Oryctolagus cuniculus: one gene and its partners. The protein of the gene in region 1 purifies or fractionates together with the protein of each later gene. This does not show direct contact. Links are inferred from orthologs where the notes say so. Each region holds a gene or a part of one and is shown in the gene's direction. Other genes may lie near its edges.

The links. The genes of interacting proteins can lie anywhere in the genome.
Region 2: the proteins of POLR1D (region 1) and POLR3K purify together in Homo sapiens (affinity purification with mass spectrometry; 3 studies listed by BioGRID and IntAct, with this or other methods). This does not show direct contact. The link is inferred for Oryctolagus cuniculus from reciprocal best matches to the Homo sapiens genes POLR1D and POLR3K.
Region 3: the proteins of POLR1D (region 1) and POLR1E purify together in Homo sapiens (affinity purification with mass spectrometry; 3 studies listed by BioGRID and IntAct, with this or other methods). This does not show direct contact. The link is inferred for Oryctolagus cuniculus from reciprocal best matches to the Homo sapiens genes POLR1D and POLR1E.

Annotation. Positions count from the first base shown.
Region 1 is NC_091440.1:86,895,394-86,899,616, reverse strand, and holds the start of POLR1D (protein POLR1D), read left to right. Parts: upstream 1-1,320; 5' UTR 1,321-1,473; coding exon 1,474-1,499; intron 1,500-4,223.
Region 2 is NC_091450.1:34,577,183-34,579,999, forward strand, and holds the end of POLR3K (DNA-directed RNA polymerase III subunit RPC10), read left to right. Parts: intron 1-2,099; coding exon 2,100-2,227; downstream 2,228-2,817. UniProt on the Homo sapiens protein: Core component of RNA polymerase III (Pol III) which synthesizes small non-coding RNAs using the four ribonucleoside triphosphates as substrates. Can mediate Pol I proofreading of the nascent RNA transcript.
Region 3 is NC_091432.1:200,304,127-200,306,936, forward strand, and holds the end of POLR1E (DNA-directed RNA polymerase I subunit RPA49), read left to right. Parts: intron 1-240; coding exon 241-372; intron 373-1,943; coding exon 1,944-2,103; 3' UTR 2,104-2,220; downstream 2,221-2,810. UniProt on the Homo sapiens protein: Component of RNA polymerase I (Pol I), a DNA-dependent RNA polymerase which synthesizes ribosomal RNA precursors using the four ribonucleoside triphosphates as substrates.

The DNA of each region.
Region 1 (4,223 bases):
GCTCCCGCTCTCCGCGGCCCGCCGAGGGAGCCGGGAGTCGGCCAGGCTCCGCTCCTCCGGGAATCGCCGCCGCCGCAGTCGCGGGTTTCCCGGCAAGAAGCAAACTCTGGCCAAGACTTCACTTCTCAACCGCCCCTGCTGCCTTCCCGGGGGCGAGCGCCGGGCTGAGCGGCCCAACCCGACACGCTGCTGGGCCAATCGGCGGCGCCACAGGGCGGGGAGGGGGCGGATCAGAGGCGGATCCACCTATCAGAGAACGCAGGGGGCGGACCAGGAGGGGCCGTCATTCCTAGGTTAGAGTGAACCTACTCCGTCCCTCGCCCCTCGCCCTCCCCCACCCGCCTGGGGCTGTCCCCGCCGCTCGCCTGATTCCTCTGTGGAAGGCGCTCGGCAAGTGTGTGAGCGAGCGCCGGGCAGCCGCGGGGACAGCGGGACAGCTGAGCAGGGGACGCACGGAGCGGGGTGGGGGGAGGTCGAGGGGAACAGGTGGCGCGGGAGAGCAGGCGTGTAGGTGTGCTGGGCGAGAGGACAGCCGGGGTAGAGGGCAGCGACCGGGGCTGGCCGGCGTTAGAGAGGTTGCGGGAGCCGGGGGTGAGCAGCGGGGAGCAGCACTGAACACTCCCAGAGAGGAAGGGGCCGGAGAGGGAACCCCGCCGAGGAAAGGCTGCCGAAGCGGGGTAGGGGACGCCTGGGAACAAAGATGAGAGGGAGGTTCCCCGGGGGTGGGGTGCAGAAGGGGTAAAGAAAAGGGTGGAAGGGAGGTGCATGGCCGGGGGAAGGAAAGGACGGGGTGGGTGAGTGTGCTCCCAAACTCCCACTTCTCCCCTAAGGAAAACGGTAAACGCTTGTCCTGTGTCCCGGGGGAGATGCTTAGCTGCAAGAACCCCACTGAGTACTGTCTTGAAGCACCACGTTCTGTTAACGAGACTCAGCCCCTCCTATTTAAGGACGGTATAGCCCAAGCCTGCGGTCCCACAAGAGGTTGGATTCCCGGGAGGCCACAGGGTTCCAGTCGAGTCTAGCAGGCCGGACTTGGGTCCCAAGAAGGGAGGTGATGTGGGGGCGGCAGGTAAGGCCCTGCCCCCTTCGCCACCAGTTGGGGAGACGGTACCAAAGGTGGAGCTCGGGCGCACGCACTGTGACCGGGGCCTCCGGGTGCGACGCCAGCGGGCCCTCCGCCGCCCTCCTCCCGGCTCGCCCCGCACGCCGCCAGGCTGGGGGCGCGCCAGGTGAGCGGCTCGGGCCCGGCGCCACCGCCCTCCTCGCGCCGGGGGCGGGGCCGGGGGCGGAGCCTCCACGTCCCGCCCAGCGCCCGGACCCTGCCGCGCCGCTGCGGCTCCTCCTCCCTCCTTCCGTCGCCGCCTTCTTCCGTCCGTCGTTCCTTCCTTCCTGCCTCAGCCGCTCAGCTCGCGGCATGGGGCAGAGCCTCCGATCGGCCAGCACCACCTGAGGATCCTGGAACCGGCACCCGCGATGGAGGACGACCAAGAGCTGGAGAGGTAACGGCCGAGAAGGCGGGCGGGGCGGGCGGAGTAGGCCGCGCCCAGGCAGGGGAGCGGGCGGTACCGGGCACGCGGCCCGGCCCGGGCCTAACCTCCGCGGCCCTGCAGAGCAGCAGGGGCCCGACCCGGGACGCTGAGAGAGGGAACAGGGCCCGACGGGGAGGAGAAGGGAGGAGTCGTGGATGTGTTTGAATAGAGGCGCTCCGAGGGACAGTAGTTCTCGAGGAGGGCGGACCAGTTGGCAGAGCAGAGTTGGGTCCCGAAACTGCCCAACCCCGTTAGAACAGCGGCGTATTCAGTCCGGCTTAAGCCCCCCCGTCACTACCGCTCTCCCTCCTCCTCCGTGCAGACTGTTAGCCGTGTAGCCCTGCCTCAAAGCGCTGAGTTCTGTTTCTCCCTCCCGCTGTACTGTTTCAGCTCTTACCGTTTCCTAGCTTCCTTACCTCTTGCAAGTGGAAGCCATAGTTGGGCCTGCACATTGATAATCTGTAGTCTCTGTTTATATGCTGGAGCAATCTTGTGTTTTTCTACACCTTCAACTCCCTTTTCCTCTTCCAGCAGGGCTCACCCTATGCTATATCCCTTTCTTGTGACTCTTCCAAAAGAAATGTCTTTGCAGACACTTAAGTGTATGTTTTTCTAAGAAGATGCTCCGTGTGGCCCACGTGGATAGTTAATGGAGCAGGGAGAAACTGGAGTCAGCAAATTAAATATTCATTGGTAGAAGTGGTGGAGGCAGAAAAGAGAGAGGCTGACAGTTCTGTGTGTAATTGCTGTGGATTAGAGTAATGATGTGTGGCAATTGTGATATAGTAAATGAAAAAAAAAGCTAGTTACAATATTCAGTATGATCTCACTTTTATAAAAAATATGTGTGTAGAAAAATGTCTGGATTGAAGACCTCAATGGCCGAAGGCGAGAGGAAGACAGCCCTGGAAATGGTCCAGGCAGCTGGAACAGATAGACACTGTGTGACATTTGTTTTGCACGAGGAGGACCATACCCTAGGAAATTCTCTGCGTTACATGATTATGAAGAACCCGGAAGTGGAATTTTGTGGTTACACTACGACCCATCCTTCAGAGAGCAAAATTAATTTGCGCATTCAGACTCGAGGTGCTCTTCCAGCTGTTGAGCCATTTCAGAGAGGGCTGAATGAGCTCATGAATGTCTGCCAACATGTGCTTGACAAGTTTGAGGCCAGCATAAAGCACTATAAGGATCAAAAAGCAAGCAGAAGTGAATCCACATTCTAGTCCCTTGTGCAGGATACAAGGAGGACTAATCTCTGGGATACTCTTCTTCATGATTGTGCAGAACCCAGAATTAGAAGTTTGTGATTACAACAACCTGCTCTATCTTTCCAAAAAAAAAAAAAAAAAATGGTTCTAGCTGTTGACCCATTCATCACAGCTGTTGGAATCCCCGCAAGAACCTGTGTATTCTCCTAATAAATTCCCTCTTTTATTGAAACTATTTTTGAGTGGTTTCTGTTCCTTGCAACATCCTCAAGGATGACTTTATTTGCTTGCAGTAGAGCCAACATTTAAAGTGATAAAACAGAGCATCAGGCACCCAAAATAGTGGTTTCATCATGGGAATCAAAAGGAGTATACATTCCTGACTAGGATTGGGGTGGTGAGGCAAAGAGGAGATGGAATAGACCATTACGCAGATAGACTGGTGGGTTTCAAAAAGAAAGAAGGTCAGGATGTGGACTTGGCTTCTTAGATATTTTACTGATGAGAAAGTTGTATCCTTTTCTCTTAGGGGATTGGGTAAGGTTAGGGAATAATTTGAAAGAATTTTGAGAATTCTGGTTTCACATGAGGGTCTCAGGAGTTATCCAGCTCCATCTTTGTACCATCTATAGAATAATTGTTTACTGCCTGAGGAGAAACCTGGAATGAGCAAATTACATTTTTAGTCTAAGTAGGTATCCAACTGTAGCCTAGGGTCATATAGAAGAAACACTATTTGAGAGAAAGGACACAGAGGGAAAATACCATGTGGAGAAAATGACTTGGAAAACTTGAAATATTAGTGAAATCACATCCAAGAGCCATTGTATCTGTCTACATCTTCAACATCTTTCATACCAGTCATACCAGAACTTCCTTCTTCAATTATCCTAAATACCTGTCAACCCTAGAGCCTGAGCACTCCCATATCCCAATGCACTGTGCTTTGGGGCCTTAGTTGATCCTATTTATTCGTGTGATCCTGGGACCTAGCACAACACTGGACAGCAGGTGGACACTTAGTAAATATGAGATGAATCCCTGTAGGTAGTTATGGCATGTTAGCTTTTCAGTAACTCTTAGTTGAGCTGCCCTAGAGCCTCTTTAAAGATATTTATTTATAGAGCTTCTGGTTTGTACCTTGGGGATAGGTATAATAGTGAGACACAATAAGTGTTGCATAAGAGAAACAATATTTTTAAAAAGTTGTAATTCTGGGGAAGAAAATACAATATCAAGATAGAAAGCATGAGAGAGAATTTTGCTTTAGGTATGGAAGTCAGGGAAGCTCTTCCCAAGATTACAGGAAGAGAAGGCTCTCATGATGGAAATTAACATTGTGAGGGAATAGCATGTACAGAGGCCCTGAAGCAGAAAACTAGTGGTCTGGGAAACTGAAGGTATTGAAGGAAGATTTGATTGTAGGCAAGTAGGCAAGGATGAGGCCTATTCTCTGGACTGATGGGAGAAAGCTGGTGTG
Region 2 (2,817 bases), on another chromosome or scaffold:
TGTTAACTGAGATTTCACTGGTGTTGAGAATCAACGCAGACATTTTCATTTTTACACAGTTCTTAACATGCAAGGCAGAATCTAGGAAGCCTGAATTTTCGTTCTGTTTTCAAAAGTCACTCCAGTCATTTCCAGCTTCAAATTTGGAGGCAGCTCTTCCCATCAAGCACCAGCATCTTCAAGCGTTGATGTGACATAAATCCCGCCCTTTACAGGGTAACATCCTGTATGTGACAGACTCAAAAACGTGAACTAAACCACTAGGGAAAGTGGACCCCCACAGCCAGAGATTGACAGAGCACACGTGGTCTGACAGCAACGCCGGGTGGTTTTCTGTCAGGACAGATGAAATGCACCTTTGCCGTTTAGTATGTGTTGTAGGATATAAAAGCCACCCCCACCTGTGGAGTGTCAAGCTGACGGCCACGACAGCCGAAGCCTCCCATGATGGACTGTGTTGTCTGTCTGTCTGTCTGTATTATTATAATGCTACTATTTTCTGGTTGTATCAAAAAACAAACAACCAGCAAGTGATTTCACCTCTTAAAAATTATTTACACTTGGCCAGTGCCGCGGCTCACTAGGCTAATCCTCCACCTAGCGGCACCGGCACACCAGGTTCTAGTCCCGGTTGGGGCGCCGGATTCTGTCCCGGTTGCCCTTCTTCCAGGCCAGCTCTCTGCTGTGGCCCGGGAGTGCAGTGGAGGATGGCCCAGGTGCTTGGGCCCTGCACCCCATGGGAGACCAGGAGAAGCACCTGGCTCCTGCCTTCAGATAGGCGCGGTGCACCGCTGGCCGCGGCGGCCATGGGAGGGTGAACCAGTGGCAAAAGGAAGACCTTTCTCTCTGTCTCTCTCTCTCACTGTCCACTCTGCCTGTCAAAAAAAAAAAAAAAAAAAGTTTCTAGAGCTACTGAAAAACGTGCATTTAAACAGTAGTTGGTAAATTATTCCTGTGGATTGCACGAGAAGGGAGACAGGCGTCTGATATTAACCAGGGCGTCTGATATTAATCAGACTTGGCTTCTTTCTCTTCCTTCATCAGAGGTCACTCTGCCTTTCAAATAGATCCGTAAATCTTTTAGAAACTATGCATGGACTGGAAACTGTTAGTTTCATTTTCTATGAGCTCTTTGAAATTCTCTTACACAGGCTTTTCAGTACTTACTTCAAAGCTGTTTGAGCCTCTCCCCATTACTCAGTCTCCAGCAGTTTGTTACAGCAGCACCAACCGTGGAGATAGCCCCCTTCCAAGTTACTTCTCTAATCAGTCTCCAGCCAGATGGGAGAGACGCAGGGTCCCAGGACGGGAGGAGTGTTTCACAGGGCACAGGTTCACCTGTCCCTTCAGTGTTCGAGCTTGGTGGGAGTGGAGCCTCTGTTGGTAGTGTCCTTAGTGATCTTACGAAGTGTCCCTCACCAGCATCGTTTTTGTGAAGATTTATCTGTTTGGGGTCAGCGCTGTGGCCCAGCAGGTTAAGCTGCCCCTGCAGCACCAGCTTCCCAGATGGGCGCCGGTTCAAGTTCAGTTGCTTCACTTCGCTTCCAGCTCCCTGCAAATGACCTGAGAAAAGCTGCGGGTGATGGCACAGGTCCTTGGGCCCCTGCTCCCACTTGGGAGACCCAGATGAAGCTCCTGGCTTTGGCCTGGCCCAGCCCTGTCTGTTGTAGCCATTTGGGGATGAACCAACAGGTGGACGTCTGTCTCTCCTTTTCTCTCTAACTCTTTCAAATAAACAAATAACTCTTTTTTAAAGATAAGATTTATTTGGAAGGCAAGATGACAGGGTAGGAGAGAAGGAGACCCTCCAACTGCTGGTTAATTCCCCAGATGTCTGTGATGGCCAAGGCTGGCCAGGCTGAGGCCAGTGCCTGGGTCTCCTGCACAGGTGGCAGTGCCCAGGTACTTGGGCCGTCCTCTGCTGCTCTTGCCCTGCACTAGCAGGGAGCTGGATCCGGAGTGGAGCATCCGGGACTCTAACCAGCGCCCACATAGGATGCCAGTGTCGCAGGCGGTGGCCCCCCACTGTGCCGCCATGCTGGCCCCACCAGCGTCATTTTATGTAATGTGGTTCCCTGGTTGGTTTTTCTCCTTTGCAGAGCCGTGTCCCAAGTGCGAACATCCTCGTGCTTACTTCATGCAGCTTCAGACGCGCTCTGCAGACGAGCCCATGACCACCTTCTACAAGTGCTGCAGCCCCCAGTGCGGGCACCGCTGGAGGGACTAGGGCTGCGCTGGCCCAGCTGTGCCGGTCCCCAGGGTGGACTCCTGGCAAGGAATGTGAGCTGTGTGTCCTAGGGTCTTCGCTGGTGTGGCAGAGAGCGAGCCCTCCTGAGGGCAGGGCCAGGGTGCCAGGAACATCGTCCGTCGGTGGATGAAGTCATCGGGGGCCAGAGAGTCCTCGTGGGCGAAGAGGAGACCCTCACTGTGTGCTCTGCTCGGGGGAGGAGACCCTCGCTGTGCACTGCTCAGGGGAGGAGACCCTCGCTGTCTTCTCTCTGCTGGGGGGAGACCCTCGCTGTGCGCTCTGCTGGGGGGGGGACCCTCGCTGTGTGCTCTGCTGGGGGGAGACCCTCACTGTGCGCTCTGCTGGGGGGGAGGAGACCCTCCTGTGCGCTGCTGGGGGGGAGGAGACCCTCGCTGTCTTCTCTCTGCTGGGGGGAGACCCTCGCTCTGTTCTCTCTGCTGGGGGGTGATGAGACCCTCGCTCTGTTCTCTCTGCTGAGGGGAGGAGACCCTCGCTGTCTTCTCTCTGCTCCAGGAGGAGACCCTTGCTGCTCTGCTCGGGGAGACCCTCACTCTGTTCTCTCTGCTCGG
Region 3 (2,810 bases), on another chromosome or scaffold:
GGCTGTTTTGCCCGCAGCCCTGCTGAGTGGCGGGGCCAGGCTGGGGCGCTGCCAGCGGCAAGTGTGGGCTCACTCCCTCTGCCCTGCCCGCACCCCTCGCCGGGGGAGGCACAGGCGGTGCCGGCCGGATTCCTTTCCTTTCCTGGAGTTAGGAAGCGCGTCAGCACGTAGGGGCCCCGGCTCTGAGAAATTGTCCTAGAGTTTAATTTTATTTCTCCTTTCTTGCCATTGATGTTGCAGTTTACGGAACTTGATTTCGAATTCTATGAAGGCCAAGATCACGGCGTATGTGATCATACTTGCTTTGCACATAAACGACTTCCAGGTTGACCTGACCGTACTGCAGAGGGACCTGAAGCTCAGTGAGAGAAGGTGAGCGATGGAGAGCAGTGAGCCGCGGGGCGGGGCGGGGCGGCCGCCTGTGTCGGAGCGGGGGAGGCCTGGGGGGAGGCCTGGCAACGCCGCAGGCGAGTGAGCCCTCAGGCACTGCCAAGCGCCTTCTCCACGAGGCGCAGGGTTAGAATCTGTCCGATCATCTCACCAGTTTCCCTAAAATCAACTGAGCCGCGTGAGGGTCAGAGGAGGGCCTGACTTTCTGAGGGCCTTGCAGCCCACAGGGAGTCGTTGAGCCTCAAACCGGAGCCTTCCAGGGCGTTCCGTCCCTGCAGGTCCGAGCAGGCTCCCGTTCTCTGAGGCGGCGTTCCGTCCATGTGGTTCTGACAGCCCAGCTGTAGCTTAGCGAGAGCTTCCCCTTCAGATGGAGGGGGCCGCGGGGAGGGGTCCAAGGCAAGGCAGAGCCTGTGCAGGGGTGTCACGGCTGAGCTTCTCGGAGCAGACGGGGGAGCTGGGTGACACGGCCTCTCCGATCATGTGGGGGGCGGGCAGGCTTCCTGGGTCCTCACAGGTGCGGTCAGTTGGCTTCTGTAACAGCCCTGCCTCCCCTCCTCCAGCAGTTGATGACGGGGTTCTGAGGGCCAGCCCTGGGCAGCATGCCCACGGCAGCGAGGCTGAAAGACCAGCGGGAGCAGGGCCTGGCGCCTGGTGCATTCCAGCAGCCGCCCCAGCCCCGTCCCGCTTGCTCTCCAGGTTGCTGTTGGTAAAGAAAGGGAGGATCTGGATCTAGAGAGCCTGGTTTTCCTTCACCTGGCAATAGTTTCTTCCACATGGAGTTAGAGAGAGGGAGAGGCAAAGAGAATCTTCTATCTGCTGGTTAACTCCCCAGATGGCCGCAATGGCTGGAGCTGGGCCAGTCTGAAGCCAGGAGCCAGGAGCTTCTTCCAGGTCTCCTACGTGGGTGCAGGGGCCCAAGGACTTGGGCCATCTTCCCTGCTTTCCCAGACCCATTAGCAGGGAGCTGGATCGGAAATGGAGCAACCAGGATTCCAACCCGTGCCCATATGGGATGCCGGTGCTGCAGGCGGCAACTTAACCCTCTACGCCTCAGCGCTGGCCCGCTCCTCCTTTTTTTTTAAAAACAAGATTTATTATTTATTTCAAAGAGTTAGAGACAGACAGAGATCTTCCATCTGCTGGTTCACTCCCCAGATGGCCACAGTGGCCAGTGCTGGGCCAGGCCGAGGCCAGGAGCTTCTTCCGGGTCTGCCACGTGGGTGCAGGGGCCCTAGCACTTATTCATCTCCCACTGCTTCCCAGGCCATTAGCAGGAGCTGGATCAGAAATAGAACAGCCGGGACTCAAACTGGCACTCACACAGGATGCCATCGTCACTGGCGGCAGCTCTACCTGCTATGCCATGGCGCTGGCTCCAGCCTCTGGATACTTTCTCACAGCACAGTGAAATGAAATTGTCTGTCTGCTGGCTTTGAGGGGTGGGAGGGGGCTCGTGCACCTCCACCTGTGGACACTGTCCTCAAGGCTGCTCTCCGGCCAGTGGCTCTCAAAGTGATCCTGAAGGTTCTCTCCCGACTTGTTCTGTGTCTTAGGATGATGGAGATCGCCAAGGCCATGAGACTGAAGATCTCCAAGAAGAAGGTGTGCGTGGCAGCCGGCAGGGAAGAGGATCGCAGGGTGGGCACTCTGAGCGTCCCGCTGCCACCGGCCCAGGCCTCAGACCTCCAGGCGAAGCGCAGGAGGATGACGTAGACTGCGCAGCGTGGCTGCTGCCTCTGTGCTTCTCCGTGTTTGTCAGAAGAAAGCCTGGCACAGGTCAGAAGCCAGAAGCCAGCCTCCCCTGGAAACATAAAGTGACGATGGCTCGGATGTCCCCCCTCCGTCGGTGTTGGTGATTGTAAACAGCGCTGTCTCGCAGGTTGCCTCGTGTGGACACAGGGGACGGTGGGGCTGGACCAGCCACAGCTGGGAGCTCTCACCAGGCTGAACTCTGAAGCCACACCTAACCGGCAGCACCGGGCTTGGGCTGGGAAGAACCGGCGGGGTGTGTGATGGGAGGACCTAGCTCAGCAGGGCTGGAAGAGGAGGCTTGTGCCTTTATCAGGAGCTAACTGGGTCGCCAGCGGGGTGGGGTTGTTGGAATTGTCTCACTTAGACCCTGCTGTAGGACACTGGGGCCAGATCAGAGGAGGCCACCATGGCGGCCAGCTCTGAAAGCCGCACTTGCAGGGATGAGTCAGGCTTCAGTACAGAAAACAAAGAATTCTAAGTGTTTTATGAAGAAAGTGGCTTAAGGGGTGGGCCTGGAAGCACAGCAGGTTAAGCTCTGCTTGGGATGCACATGTCTCATATTGGGGTGCTGGTTCAAGTCCTGGCTCTCCTGCTTCTGATCTTTTTTTTCTTTTTGAATTTTATTTATTTGAAAGGCAGAGTTATGGGGCAGGCTGGGGATGGAGAGA